2 linked regions of the Lepisosteus oculatus genome follow. The protein of the gene in region 1 interacts with the protein of each later gene in a biochemical or structural test. Links are inferred from orthologs where the notes say so. Each region holds a gene or a part of one and is shown on either strand. Other genes may lie near its edges.

What was found.
Region 2: the proteins of raraa (region 1) and tada3l form a complex in vitro, tested with the Homo sapiens proteins (2 studies listed by BioGRID). The link is inferred for Lepisosteus oculatus from reciprocal best matches to the Homo sapiens genes RARA and TADA3.

Annotation. Positions count from the first base shown.
Region 1 is NC_090723.1:6,530,709-6,538,834, forward strand, and holds the start of raraa (retinoic acid receptor alpha-A), read left to right. Parts: upstream 1-5,032; 5' UTR 5,033-6,324; coding exon 6,325-6,499; intron 6,500-8,126. UniProt on the Homo sapiens protein: Receptor for retinoic acid. Retinoic acid receptors bind as heterodimers to their target response elements in response to their ligands, all-trans or 9-cis retinoic acid, and regulate gene expression in various biological processes.
Region 2 is NC_090699.1:66,539,434-66,546,607, forward strand, and holds the start of tada3l (transcriptional adapter 3), read right to left. Parts: upstream 3,132-7,174; 5' UTR 2,851-3,131; intron 2,845-2,850; exon of another isoform or gene 2,686-2,844; intron 1,256-2,685; 5' UTR 1,239-1,255; coding exon 1,029-1,238; intron 831-1,028; coding exon 474-830; intron 190-473; coding exon 57-189; intron 1-56. Other genes in the region: arpc4l (actin related protein 2/3 complex, subunit 4, like), read left to right, coding at 3,717-3,857, 5,037-5,155, 5,343-5,454, 6,049-6,144, 6,414-6,584. UniProt on the Homo sapiens protein: Functions as a component of the PCAF complex. The PCAF complex is capable of efficiently acetylating histones in a nucleosomal context. The PCAF complex could be considered as the human version of the yeast SAGA complex.

The sequences.
Region 1 (8,126 bases):
AGTGTTTCCTGCCCCCTCCCTTAACACCTACACTTCTTAAAAGTATTGGAACATTAGGAGGGTCATAGCTGAGAGTGTGTTTTTGAATATCTATCTTTTCTGAGCTCTTAAAGTAGGCTGACTGCAGATCCAGCGGAAAAGCTGAGAATATAAAGGACCTGTGTTATAGTGGTACAGGAATTGCTGGTTCAGGCCCGATCTCTGTGCTTAGTCAGACCTGGCTGGGATTTGCCAGGCTGTAGCCCGATTGCCCAAGCACCTTGGGGACTTGTGGGGTTCGGTTTTTTTTTTACTTTGTGCACAGCAGAGACCCCTGCTGTTTGCCTATCCCCAGGTGCGCCTGCACTGTTATGTGAGTGAAGCGCTGTATTCTTGCATCTTGGCATTGCGGCCTGACATGACAGAGCACATCCCTGCAGCAGCCTGCAAGTTGTCTTCATCTCCCCAGTGCCCCTACAAGGGATTGACCAAGAGCGGGTCATTCCGAATCGATAGAGAGCGGTGCTGATAATAAAATTATTATTCTTCTTATTATACTGAACACAGGAGCACAGTGCGAGCGCTTTGGGCAGGGTGAATGACAAAAGCCGCAGACACAAGACCAAACCTAAGACAGTCTGAACACAGAGAGGTGAGCTGGGGAAGATCCTGTGCGCCACACTACGCCCTCAGCTCCATTGCAGCCTCTACCGTGCACCTACAAGTGTACCGGGTGGCCTTTGCAAAGGCTGTTGGCTGGTTGGTTTAGCTCGTTTGCATGCCAAGATGGCAACCTAGACAGATCCAGCCGCGCGGCATCGACAGCAGCAGGGGTATCGGCGCACGTCTGCTGGGAAGGGAAGTGGGGAGAGCCGTGGACGTGGGTGAGCACACTCTGTGTCTTTAAGAGCGCTGTGTCGCTCGGCGCTGTGGAATGAGGAAGGCGGAGGTGCCAGCTGGATTCTTGGAATTCTGCTGAGCAGAAATGCGGGCAGGCAGATATATATATATATTTTTTTACTGTGGCATCACGGGAATAAGATCCGGCACTGCTTGGAACGCTTCAGCTCACCGCAGATGGAATGAGCACAGAGTCGGCTGAAGGTGTTTACTCTCCTGCCTGCTGCAGAGTCTCTCGAGCGTGGATAAGGGCCGCTCCCTGGCTGGCTGCCCCCTTGCTGTTCGGTTCCCTGCAGCCCTGCACTGATCTCATTAGATCTTGCGCAAGATTCAGCAGTTGCCCGCTTCGCCGGGGTCTTATCTCGCTCTGGATGTCGGAGGCGACCAGCTGTCGGGCTGTAAGGAAACCAGAAAATTAAACGGAAAGTCTGGCTGGCGATCTAATTCAACACGTAAAGCACAGCTTCTAGGCTCCAGTCATAGAATTGTTACTATTATACTGAACACGGGAGCACAGTGCGAGCGCTTCAACAACAACAACATCACTTTATTAGCCCTATACAATTTCTTGCATTAGGAATTAATCTTTTCGCAGACCCCAGCTTTTCTCCATGGGGACAGACACACAGACAGGGAGAAGCTTGGGGTCAGAGCGCAGGGTCAGCCATTGTACAGCACCTCTGGAGCAGCTGGGGTGAAGGGCCTTGCTCAGGAGCCCAACGGAGTAGGATTCCTCTGCCGGCCGCGGGATATGAACCGGCAACCTTGTAGGCACAGATCCTTAGCCACAGAGACGAGACCAATCCTAAGATAGTCTGAATACGGAGAGCTGCGCTGTGTAGTGTGACGCACAGGAACCTCCCCAAGTTCTACGGCTTCTAAGAACCACAGCCATGGCAGCCATGTTGGTTTTGCTTATTAAGATCTAAAAAGAGCTCAGGAATCTGTGTCCCAGAGTTCCTCTGCCCTGGCGTGCTGCTCGCACCTTTCCCCCCGACTGCTGCCCAGGCTTCAGCCCTGGGCTCCGTTCAGACGCCCCCTTGAGGAGTGATGGCTGACTGATGTGGGAGGAATGACTCTCTCCCCGTTGTCGCTGCTCTCCCGTGGGGGCGGGGCACCGACGGGACGTGAGCTCTTCTGGGACTGATGACGGCGGACAAGCTTGCAAGGCAACAAACGAGTGAGCTCTGAGAGGCCAGAGGAGGGCGTGAGTGCAGGCATTTCGCACAGGGGCCAGGTCGCCAGGAAGAAGGGAGTATTACGCCGGTGCAGAGAAGGTGACAGGGTGGTGGGGCCACTCCAGATTCACCTCGTGCAAGATGTAACGCAGGATAGCTCCGTTGCTTGGTAATTTGCATGCTTGCCGACTGCACACTGGCTGGAGACACTTGCGCCAGGACCTTCCCATCTCCCCTTGCCATGAAAGCCACCATTAAACTTTCAGTCTCTGTTTGGCAAACAGGTGATGCGGAAGATCTTGGAGAGGCTCACAGCTCGGCAGTGGGTGGCATCGCTGTAACAATAGGGTGTTGTGGCACAGCTGTCTTCACTGGCGGGGGGGCTGGGGGTAAATTGGTGGCAGTGTCTAATCTTTATTGCCCCCCTAACACCTCTGATTGGAGGGGGGGGCAATAAAAATACTTTCGCACCCTAAAGATCCAGGCAGGATGTCCTCCGCACTGCCCTCTCATAAACCTCCCTGAATTCCCAGCCCCAGTCTGGTCTGAACCTAACCCTCATTATCTGCTTTTCATTATTCCTGCTCACCTCCCAAAGACCCAGGGTCCTGCCCCACCGCCACTCACTGTGTGTGCGCAGGCAGGCTTGCTTTCGCTCAACCCCACGGAGGGCAGTCTGGCACCCATCACAGGTCTGGCATTCCTGGGCAGCTGCTGGCTCCTGCCAGGCCCACAGGCCACATGCCCTTAACCTCTGGCTCTCCGGCAAGCTCCTTTTCAGTGTCTTCGCTGTGGCACTCAATTATGTGGCTCTCGAAGTAATTACTGGCTCACCAATATGGCAGCGCTGAGGTCTTTTAATGACAGAGCATTTGAAGGCTGTACCAGCAAAACCAGGCTCCCAGTACAGAATGTCAGTGTCGCCTGGGGTCCTTCCAGGGACTCATTCTTCAGCGGCTGACGTAAGTCCTCAAGTACAACATCCTGGTGCTGGAAACGCAGGCCTCCCCCATTTCTTTTGACTCTCCTCCAGACCTGGAATAATTAGTCATGTTGTAGTTAATTTCCCAAGTTCATACCGCATGCAGAGGTTACTCACAATCGCAGACAGCCTTCAAACGGGGAGGCTGTCATTCCTGACCTTTTGGTGCTGTTGCAGCAGGCCCTTATGCACATAACGGGGCATTAATGACAGATATCAGGCAGTTAACTGGCAAGCAGGAAAGGCAGATGGGTCCTGTGCCAGCGCATTTGTGCACAGTCAGCGTAGCCCTGCAGCGGAGGGATCTGAAGGGAGCCGTTCCTGCATGGGCTGGCCATGTCCACTGCAGTCTTCCTTCGCCCGGTCCCGCTGGTCCTGGCGTCCCTTCTCTGGAATCTCCTCTGAAATGGACTCCAATGGCACAGAGCACAGAGCTCAGCCTCCCCTCCCCCCCGCCTGCTGTCCTTATCAGTAAAAGTAAACAGTTTAAGCCCTGGTGTTAAATTAGTGTCACAGTTTGCTGCCAAGGCCCCAGCAGGCCTTCCCCTGCAGAGTCCTGGGGAATGCCCTCCAGTCGGAGCTCCGAACTGCCCGGCAGGCTGGGCAGGCTCCGGGCCCGAGGCTCGGCTCCGCTGGGAGCTTTCCTGGGATTTCCCCCGTGCTGCCCGGGCCTCTGCACAGAACATGGCTGCTTCCACTCCAGATGGCCTCGTTCCCTCTGACTGACCGACTGCTGTCCGATCAGTCCACTTTGCCCTGGGAAAAAACACTGATTACAGCCTCAAAATGTACCATAAATAATACACTAGTGCATCCCCATCCGTAGAGCTCTCTGTGAGGGACACAGGCCATTTGTTCTGACCTGGTCTGAATTTGCAGGGCACTAAACAAGTCCATTGCATTGCTCGTGACTGTCGTATTCACTGTCACGGCACTGTGCGGCATTATCTATCTAGATCCTATTAGTCCTCACGGAATTGCAGTCTAATGATATTCTTGAGTATTAGATCTGCCAGGCTGTGTGTGTGACCATGCTTTCAACAAGTGACTTCTTTTCTGTCATGAACAAAGACTCTCAATCTGAACCATTTATTTATTTATTTATTTATTTATTTATTTATTTATTTTTAAGTGGCGTTTTGCAAATACAGAAAACTTGCAAACTTTTTCAAAGTCTGGGGGAAAGGCCGTCGCTCTTAAGCTCATCGTGCGCGGCCTCCGCTGTGTGGAAGCGCGATGCGAGATGAAAGATTTAACTGTGCGCGTTTTGGTCAACGTCGGCCTGGGTGCTGTGCGGTTCTCAGACCAGCTCCCTCCCACCTGCGAGTCGGTGGGACTTTTCGGGGACTCCGCGTGCCAATGCGCACGAGCGGCCAGGTGGGGGAACCTCGAGTGACGTCAGCGACAGGAACGCGGAGGAGCGCGCCGGAGTCGGCGTGTGGGTCACCCGGAGGTGAGGCGGCCGGCTTCCGCGGGTTCAGGAAAAGTTCACCCGCATAACATTAGGCAAATTAGTCCGGGGGGAGACCGGGAAACCTGCGAGAAAAAGGGGACGATGGGAAAAGGGGGTCTTCCGCGTCACGGCGTGGGAGCTGGGCTCGTGGGTGGAAGAGGAGGCGTCACTTAGTGCTGTACGAGAGAGGCATTCCTGTTGGGGTGGAGGGGTGTGTGTGCGTGTTTATTATGTCCCTAAAACTGCGGCGGCGCGGTTTTAGTTTGCTTTTTAAAATTGTTTCAGACGACCACCACCACCTCCTCCTCCTCCTCCTCCTCCCCTATTTTGATTTCGAACCGACAAGTGTTAATCCTCTTCCCCTCCCTCAACCACACACACACACCCCTCCACCATCACCACCGAGCCGCTGGGTTTGCGGCTTGTACCGAGAGAGCGGGCGGTTTGGCCCGGGTCCTGGGGCTGTGTGACTGCGGGAGTCCGGAAAGGGTTAAGTCGGGGAGGCGCTCTGGAGGGAGAGAGAGAGCGGAGAGAGAGGGAGGGAGAGAGGAGGTAGGTGGGGTCCGGTCGCAGTTGCTCGCTGCCGTCACAATCTGCGGCGCAGGGCAAGCGGGTACCCTGCCTGGGAACAGACTTGGCGTGAGAGAGGAGAGAGATCCCCGCACGACAGCAATAAACACGGAGTCGGGGGGGGGGAGACGGATCGAGTCACGCGAAACGGGGGGGATTAAAAACGCGAAATCTGCGACGCCAGCGAAACACAGCTTCCGCGCCTCTCGCCTCGACACATCCGAGGCGCTCGGCTGGATTTAAAATTATTTTATTTTGTTTTGTTTGGGGAGGGGAGGGTCTCCCCCCCCCCCCGATGTGGTGGAAGGAAATTGAAAAAAGAGTGCCCCCCTCCTCCACTCCATCGCCCTCCCTCCCTCCGTGCCTGCCTGCCCCCAGTCGGTGTCGACCGCAAGCGTCGCAGGGCAAGAGGAGACTGTAGCCACCGAGGCAGGAGGACGAGGGTGGTCCGGTCCGGTCCGTTTGCGCTGTGGAGGTGAGGACGCGCTCCTCCTTGCCCGTGAAGATGTCGCGCCTGTACGGGGAGAGCGGCTGACGACGCCAGCCTGTTCCGTGCGGGATTTGTACCGGCGTAGCTGGGCTGTTTTTTTGGCGTGTGGGTGTCGCGGTATTTTTTTTTTAAAGAAAAAACTTCAGTTTTTTTTTTTGCCTCCCTTCTTGCCTACCTTCTCCAGTTTTGTGGAGTTTTTTTTTTTAAATAAACAGTTTTGTGGCGGGGTGCGGGAGAAAAGTTGGCACCGCGGGACCCGTCTGGAGCAGGGAGCGCAGCCCGGGGCCCGCTCGGGAGCACACGGAGGGGGAGACGCGCCAGCATGCGAATCGCCGCCTCTCCAGCCAGCGCTTCCACGCACAAAAACCGCAAATGAAGTTGTTCTCGGACCATGCGGGGAGACCCACTTAGTTAGCTGCTGCACCCAGACCCCACACTGAAATCACTGCCCGTTACTTCATCCACAACCACAGTGATTGGTCTTCTTGCTGGGACGGAACTTTGCTGTTTGTTTTTTTTTCTCTCTAAAAGATCAAATCATCAGTACAGCCAAACTTTTTTTTTTCCCCCAGCAAGGCTGGGTGGGGTGGGGGGGGAGATCTCCCACAGTCACTACCTCTAAGATGTTGTTTGACAGCTAATCAGAAGAAGTTGTGCGAGTAGTTCTTGTTGCTCCTGCCACCGAGAGAAGATTTTGTTGTTGTTGTTGGGATATTACTTTCAATCGGGTTTTTTTTTATTTTTATTTTTTTTGGAGTCGCCAACACGCATCATGTATGAGAGTGTGGACGTGGTGGGGTTAAATCCCAGTCCGAACCCGTTCCTAATGGTGGATTACTACAACCAGAACCGAGGATGTTTAATCCAGGAAAAGACGATCGTGGCCGGATCGCACCACCCTTACGGCAGCTCCATCAGAAACCAGCACTGGACCGGCTCCAATCACTGTAGGTGGACATTTCTGCTCCTGGGTTACAATGTTTCACTTCGGGGGACATGTGTCTGAGCGATCGCGTGTTACGTGTAGCCCAACTCGCGTTCTGTGGGCTTCCGCCTACGGTGCAATTTCACTGGTCTGGATCGATCTGTATCCCGGCCGCTTCGTGTAATTACGGCAGGCTCGTCAACGAGTTTAAATTAGCGCGGCCCCGATTGTGTGTGAGAGAGAGAGCGAGCGCAGGTGCTGTGATTTAAGGCGCTGCTTGAGTGACCTTCTCGGTGTTTGTGTTTCGCTTGCAATGTCTCATGTTGTCCTTTCCGAACGAGCTCCTTACTAGCGTGTTGGCTTCTGTTAAACCACCTCGGCGTCTGCCGGCTTTCCTCGCCGTGTGAACGTGGAGACCCTTGCGTGCGCGTTTGCTACACCTCCTCTGTGTGTTTTCACCTAAACATGTTTTATTTGGTCAATAGCTTATTGCATCTATACCCTCTCGATGGTTGTGCTTCAAGCACAAACCGTTTGGACGGCTGTAGTAATCACCATTACAGAGGGCTTTACCGCTGTAGCCCCCGGCCAGCCCGGCGCTCTACATACGCGACTACGGGTTTTGTCTTTTTTTTCCCGGCCTACAGTACATGTAGCGAGTTGTAACAGTAACTGTGCAGTAACATTTCCAAAAGAGCGAACAGAAACGTGCTTGCAATGCTGTGTTTCAATGCATAGGACACTGAGCTCATTTGCGGAGGCACCTTTGTTAAATTGCATTGTAACGGAGGTTTTTGTGGATAATACAGGACGCGCTGCTTTTACATTTCCACAGATTGACTGTTTTTGTGGGTACTTGCTGTGCTTAAGAAGGCGAAAATCTTTAGAATTGCGCGGCACAGTAAATGTATATTTGAATTTAAGTGCAGGGCTTTTTAAAACCGGTTGAATGCCAAGTAAGAACAATTATGGGCCGAGCAGCTGTTGGTAAGCGAGTTTTTTTTTGGAAACAGATTTTCTGTTTCTAGTCCCTTTCCGAAACTTGTTTCTTCCGGACGCAGGAAAGAATTTTTCCTCCCTAAATCGTTAGTCATCGCAGTTTGTGCCAAACTAGCGTATTGAACGACGCGCCTTTCGTGGTTTAACGAAGGTAGACAGGGCGACGGGGATGTCATCATTTCTAAACCGATCGTTCACGATTTTTTTTTGTAAAAAAAAGCGTTATATCTAAACGCTGCTGTCGAATACGAAGTTTGTACTCGACAGAAGACAAGAAGAAAAGGTCATCATCGTTGTCGTTTTTGCACTCAAAGACCCATAATCGGTCCGTGTCGTCAAACCGTCGTGTCCAGAGTCAGGAGGGACATTCGTTGGATCGTGTTTCGGGGTCGCCCGCTATTTTATCTGATATTTTCATTAGACTTTTCTAATAACTGAATTCTGGTGATCATTTGTGCATATAAGCCCTATAAGAAGCGGAAGAAGGGACAGTAGAAATCGCCGGACTAAGGCTGCGCGACGTGCTGCACCTCCGGGGAAGGCGACATCGGGAGCCTGTTGTCGAGGCTGGACAGCTCGGCCTGCGAGTCCAGAATCACTCGCGGCCGGACTTCTCTCTTCGGGGAAGAAGCTAACTTTTTGTTTTTAAT
Region 2 (7,174 bases), on another chromosome or scaffold:
CTCCCAGATTGTCCCCCGTCTCCTGGACCCCCGCGCCTGGCCCTCGCCACACTCACCCTTGGCGTCCAGTTCGGACAGCGGTCCCATGATGCCCTTCTTCTTGTCGTTGGCTCTGGCCCCGTCGCGCTGCTCCTCCAGCAGGTCCTCCTGGGCCCAGCGCTGGGAATAGTGCTTCCCCAGAGCAGGGACCTACACAGACACAGGACAGCAGGCAGAGAGGGACACAGGTGAGGGACAGGCTGTACAGATCGAGCACAGGACTGCGGGGAGAGAGAGACAGACTGTACAGCAAAGGCACAGGACAGCAGGTAGAGTAGAGAGGGACTGACTGAACAGCACAGCTGCAGGACAGCAGGGAGAGAGGGACAGACTGTACAGAAAAGGCACAGGACAGCACACAGAGAGGGACAGGCTGTACAGATCGGGGGCAGGACAGCGGAGCTTCGTGGTGGTTTGTAAACAGAACTCAGTACCTTGTAGTACTCGGGCTCGTCCTCGGGGGCCTTCAGCAGGTCCTCCAGCACCCTGATCTCCTCGCTGGTGATGTCGGCGCAGTACGGCTCCACAGACGCCCAGAACCTGTTGGGGGCATCGTTCTTGGGGATGCGCGGGGTGTCCTGGGGGTCCTCGCTGAACTCGTACTCCTGGATCTTGGGTTGCAGGTTTTTCGATTTGGGCCGACCCGGGCCAGGTCCAGGCCCGTGGCCCCCTTTTCCCTCCAGCTTCTGTTTCTTGGGCTTGGAGTGTCGGGGTGCGGCCGACAGGTCTGCCTCCTTCCCCATCTTCAAGAAGCGCTTGTCCCCCTTCTTGTCCTGCCAGTCCGTCAGGATCTGAGGCAGACAGACACACGCGCAGGTGTCTGCGACAGTCAGCACAGTTTTGGGGAGCGATGGGTGTACAAGCAACTATGCTGTGATCTCTCTTTCCTGGTTAGTGTCCACACCCCTCATCTCCCCCTCCTTCACCCCCTCACCTGTCCCCTCCCCCCCACACCCCCCTACCTGTCCCCTCCCCCCGCACCCCCTCACCTGTCTCTGCTCCTCCAGGGCCCTCAGCCTGCGGCTGGCGGAGGACAGCAGCGTCTCCAGCTCCAGCTGCAGGGTGTCCAGCTCCTCGATCCCGATCCCATCGTCATCGGAGCGGCCCAGCACCGCCGTGTAGCGCGGACACACCTTGGCATGCTCCACCGGCTTGAAGTCATAGTACTGCAGCGGAGGGCAGTCCTTCAGCTCACTCATCCTCACGCCGGGCAGAGCTGTGGACACAGGTCAGGCTGTCAGTGTGCTGCAGGCTGGGCAGAGCTGAGCACACAGATCAGGCTGTCAGTGTGTTCAGGCTGGGCAGAGCTGAGCACACAGATCAGGTTGTCAGTGTGCTGCAGGCTGGGCAGAGCTGAGCACACAGATCAGGCTGTCAGTGTGTTCAGGCTGGGCAGAGCTGAGCACACAGATCAGGTTGTCAGTGTGTTCAGGCTGGGCAGAGCTGAGCACACAGATCAGGCTGTCAGTGTGCTGCAGGCTGGGCAGAGCTGAGCACACAGATCAGGCTGTCAGTGTGTTCAGGCTGGGCAGAGCTGAGCACACAGATCAGGCTGTCAGTGTGCTGCAGGCTGGGCAGAGCTGAGCACACAGATCAGGTTGTCAGTGTGTTCAGGCTGGGCAGAACTGAGCACACAGATCAGGTTGTCAGTGTGTTCAGGCTGGGCAGAGCTGAGCACACAGATCAGGCTGCCAGTGTGCTGCAGGCTGGGCAGAGCTGAGCACACAGATCAGGTTGTCAGTGTGTTCAGGCTGGGCAGAACTGAGCACACAGATCAGGTTGTCAGTGTGTTCAGGCTGGGCAGAGCTGAGCACACAGATCAGGCTGCCAGTGTGCTGCAGGCTGGGCAGAGCTGAGCACACAGATCAGGCTGCCAGTGTGCTGCAGGCTGGGCAGAGCTGAGCACACAGATCAGGCTGCCAGTGTGCTACAGGCTGCTCCAGCTCGGGAGCATGACAGGCAGAGATGTCAGATTTCAAGTGCATATGACACAGACACCTGCCTTTTAAAAGACATCCCACCCTGAACAGGGACAAAGGATTCAGGCGCAGGCCTTATTCCTGGTTCCTGGTTCAAACCCCAGCTATGCCACTGACCACTGGATCAGTGCGTTTCCCTTGCATTCCCTCCCCTCCCCGTGCGCTGTTGCTAGTAGGTGACAGCGGAGGTGGCCAGTCTTGCACACCTCGCCTGTCTAAACCGCTCGGCACAACAGCGTCCGGACAAAGCTCGTCTTACACACAAAACATGACGTCACCAACGAGCGACACCAGCAGCAATACAGCACAGTAACAGTGACAACAAAACACGAGTTACAACGACAGATGTTTAAACGAGACAGACACAAGCAATGTCAGGCAGCCAGAATCGTCGTGCGCCTCGTGAAACTTGACTTCCAAAGGCTTTTATCTCCGGTAGGAGAGACGGATCTGCCCGCCCCGCAACCAGACTGCTCCGTGCATGAGCGTAACCTCGGCACGGTCTTGTTTTCATAAACGTTTAAGAAGCCCCACTGCTTTCAAACCCCGCCGTAAGTGCAGCGGGCGGCTCTTACTCTCCCTCGCAGTGCCGTGCAGTGGCAGGTCTTACACGCAACGAGAGAGAACAACATCCTCAGGCGAAGGGACCCTGTCCATTGATACGTACGCGCACACCGCACAACGCTGACTGCGCCCTCCAGCCTCCGCCACCTCAAGGAGCATTTTCACACGGCGGCTCTGTTCATCTAGGCGAATGCCAGATTAGGCAGCTTCTGTTTATTCCTCCCAGAACATTACACGTACGCGTTTTGCTCTCTGGTTGCAGACTTACCATTGATAAGACGCTAAAGCAGAACGGACAGCTTTAGTCCTGCAGCGCAGCTTCCATTGCTGACTCTACCATTCAGGGCTACAGAGGGGTGCGCGACACACTCTGTTCACCTTCACGACTAAACATTTCTTTCCGAAATCCAATCTGACGTGAAGTATATGTTTAACAGTGTCTACAACAACTTAGAGAATTTTCGGGTTGAGTTATTGCGCGTATGAAACATGTACTAGACTCCCTTGACCACCGCGCCAACCCCGTCTCCTGAGCCTGATTGAACAAACTGTCTCTTGCAAGATGGTTTCTCCCTGAAGACGACACCACCAGAGAGGGGTTTATTCTTAGAATTACAACGTTTAATGTGGCGACGAGATGATAATTGAAGATAAAAATGAAATAAAAGATTTAAATAAAAAATATTTTATTTGAAGTTGCACTCGTTTTCTTCTGTTTGTTTTGCTGCAGATCACAGCAGACTCCAGCTAGTCGAAAACTCCCCCCCCACATTCAGCCAGCCAGTCTGAAGTCCCACGTTGCCTTTTATGGAAGAAAATCTCTGCCTAAACCAAATTGAAGGTGGGGGTGGGAGGAAGAGATTTTTTGTGGAAATAGGTGGAAAAGAAAGACAACATAGATTATTTAAAATAACATCAGCAGATTTAGTAGTTCTTGTTTCTGAATTTCTAATCATAATAACTCGAGCTAGAGACGGTGAACGTAATACCAGTCGTACCGTTCCGGAAAGATGCTGTGCTATATCAGAGCACTAAGAGAGATTGCCTCTTGCATGGTCTGTTTCAAACGCCTAGTCTTTATAAAGGTATTTGGCTGTACAAGATAGTGGAAAATGAAAAGTAGCGCACAAAGAAATGGCACTATTCAGTTACTTGCACACACCCTTAAGATGTGGGAATGGTACATCCCAGCCAGCCGAGCAGCGCTCGCGGAAGAGCCGCCGTGCGCACGCGCTCCGAGCACTTCCGTCTTGTTCCCCAGAGGAAGCAGAAATGGTAAGACAGGGTAGCGTTTCTGGATATTAACATCAATAATTAAGACAATTAACTACTGGTAAATAGGTTAGTGGGCTGCTATGGTTTGTGCGCGGGGTCTTAGATGGGGTGCGGTGCCCTGGGAGTCTCTGCGAGAGGCTCCTGGCTGGGGCTGCCGACGGCCGCGGTAGGTGTGCCTGGGATCCCCACCCAAATTTCGGAGCCCGGCCGCCGACAGCCTGCAGCCGCTCCGCCCGGTGCCCCCGGCGGGTGGGGAGGGCGCCGAGCCGGCTCAGGTGCTGGATGGCACCAGGCAGTGCAGGGCAGAAAGTGGCGTGTGAAGCGTCATTTCAAGGCGGTTGCAGGGGTTTTATTTTCGTGTGGTGTGTGCGGCTTCCTGTCAAAATGACGTGTTGGAAGTGACCGACTCTCGGCACCCCGGGTACCCCCCTGTTTGCGTGCCGCTTCGCTCGTGCACAGGCGTCTCTGCGCGTCCGGGCACGGGAGGCTCGCGCTGCTGGAATTCACTGTTGCCATGGAGATCCCCACCGCACGCCCGGGCTTGCGGGGCTGAGGGTGGGGGGGGCGGGAGGAATGCGGGCCCGCAGGGCTCTGTCCGCCCAGACCCAGACCCAGACCCGCGGGGCCGAGGCTCTGAAATTCTCCGGCCGGTGCGCTCTGGCTCTGTCGCACTGGGGCCTGGTCAGTACCTGGATGGGAGTCTCCTGGGAGAGCTGAGGCTGCTGCTGCAAGAGGTGTCAGTGGGGCCAGTAGGGGGCGCTCTCACCCTGCGGTCTGTGTGGGTCCTAATGCCCCAGTGTAGTGACGGGGACACTATACTGTAAAAAGGCGCTGTCCTTCAGATGAGACGTAAAACCGAGGTCCTGACTCTCTGTGGTCATTAAAAATCCCAGGGCGTCTCTCGAAAAGAGTAGGGGTGTCACCCCAGTGTCCTGGTCAAATTTCCCCCCTGGCCTTTACCAGTCATGGCCTCCTACTAACCCCCCATCTCTGAACTGGCTTCATCCCTCTGCTCTCCTCCCCACTGAGAGCTGGTGTGTGTGAGAGGACTGGTGCATCATCCAGGTGGGGCTGCACACTGGTGGGGGTGGAGGGGATCCCCCTTACCTGTAAAGAGCTCTGAGTGGAGGGTCCAGAAAGGCGCTATATAATGTAAAGAACTGCTCTTTTCCTCCACAGACAGCGACTCTGCGGCCCTACCTGAACGCCGTGCGCGCCACGCTGCAGGCCGCCCTCTGTCTGGAGAACTTCTCCTCCCAGGTGGTGGAGAGACACAACAAGCCAGAGGTTGAAGTCCGGTGAGTCTGAGCCGGACGCGGGTTCGAGGCTCTCCTATTCTCGGGGTGACCTGCCCCCCTCCCTCTCTCAGCCCTTCCTCTGCTGGGATTGGCCCTCAGCCTCTCTGCCAAACAGGCAGGCGCATGGTCAGCTCTGCTCTGAGTCCTCCTGGGGTCCTAACGTGTTCTCTCATCTCTCTCTCTCCAGGAGCAGTAAGGAGTTGCTGCTGCAGCCGGTCATCATCAGCCGCAATGAGAAGGAGAAGGTTCTGATCGAGGGCTCCATCAACTCCGTGCGCGTCAGCATCGCTGTCAAACAGGTCGCTGAGGGGGCGTGGCCGTGCGTGTGCCGTGCTGTGGTTGGCTGAGGCCGTGGGCGGGGCTCGTGTCCCAGGTCGAGAGACTGGAAAACCAGCCGGTCTTAGTCGGGTGTTTTAGAGGCTGATATTCACACCACTGATGAGGCAGAAAGCAGAAGTCATGAGTACATGTTTCTCTGTGTCAGTGTCATACTGGAAATATACAGCACTGATCTTAACTTGTTTAAGAGTGTCCAGATGATGGGACCTGAAAAATATAATTACTTTGCAGTGGGCAGAGTGATCTCTTCCTGGAACCGTCAAGTAATTGTGCAGGTGATTGGTCAGGAATTCAGAATGACCTTCTCTGTGATTGGTAGATGCCTTAGTTACCTGGCTTGTGATTGGTCGAGAGAATGAAAAAGGCTGCTCTGTGATTTTAGAGGCAGCCTGACTGCTCTCTCTGGTGCAGCGCAGGACCGCTCTGACAGAGGAGTGGCTTGAAGGGCTGCAGGTGGCGTTAGCAGTGCGACAGGTGGAGGGCCGAGGAGGAGACTCTGACTGGACTGGGGTTGAACAGGGCTGGGCTGACGGCGCTGTGATGTGTCCCCACAGGCCGATGAGATTGAGAAGATCCTGTGCCACAAGTTCATGCGCTTCATGATGATGAGAGCGGAGAACTTCTTCATCCTGCGGAGGAAACCCGTGGAGGTAAGAGGGGGATTCGGGAAGACGAGATCTCGCCTCTTCGGCAATAACTTATTAATCTCGGGATCTCATCTGGCAGGCGTTTGTCCAGTCTTGAATCATGTGTAAGTCCGTAGAAGCAGCAAATCAAATTTAAAAAAGCATTTTCTCAATCCTCCAATTTGGGGTCATCTGCAAACTTCACTAGTTCTTTCACTATACCAGCGTCTAGTTCACTGGTGTACATACACTCATCCTGTCTGTCACGGTCGCTCTCTTTCTCCTGACTCCAGGGCTACGACATCAGCTTCCTGATCACAAACTTCCACACGGAGCAGATGTACAAGCACAAGCTGGTGGACTTCGTCATCCACTTCATGGAGGAGATCGACAAGGAGATCAGTGAGATGAAGCTGTCCGTCAACGCCCGCGCCCGCATCGTGGCTGAGGAGTTCCTCAAGAACGTACGTGCCTTTCGGGGAGTTTGCCTCATCAGCTTAGTTCAAAGCTTCGGTTTCTCTGCACCAGCTGTTCAGATGTTGTAACAGGACAGAGTGGTGTTAGACGTAGCGCAGTGGTACCGGCCTGCAGAGCTGCAGGAATGGCTGTGAAAAATAACATCCGTGTTGCATTTCCTGGCTACGTTCCTACACTCCGTTAAAACACTGAAGCACAGGAATGGACGGGAAGGCCAGGAGGGCGGATGGGGCTGCAGAGTCTCGGGCTCTGCTGCACGTGCTGACTGCAGCCCCGAGCACCGTGGCCAGGACGTCCCACACCTGGGAAAAACCCTCCCCCGTAGATGCACTCTTAGTTTCGAGAGGAAGGATGCAGTAAGTTCTGACTAGTGCAGGTCCGGATAATATCCAAGTTTCTTAAGGGAAATGTATTAATTTACTGGTAGCACATGTGACTGAGAAGCAGAAAGCTCTGAGCTGTTTTTTGTCTTTGGACATTGCAGCGTGAATAATTTTCTATTAAAATGTGAAACGTTTGTTCCTGTCGGCATCGGCGGTGCTGTCAATGTGTTTTCAATCCTGATCTGTTCGTCTTG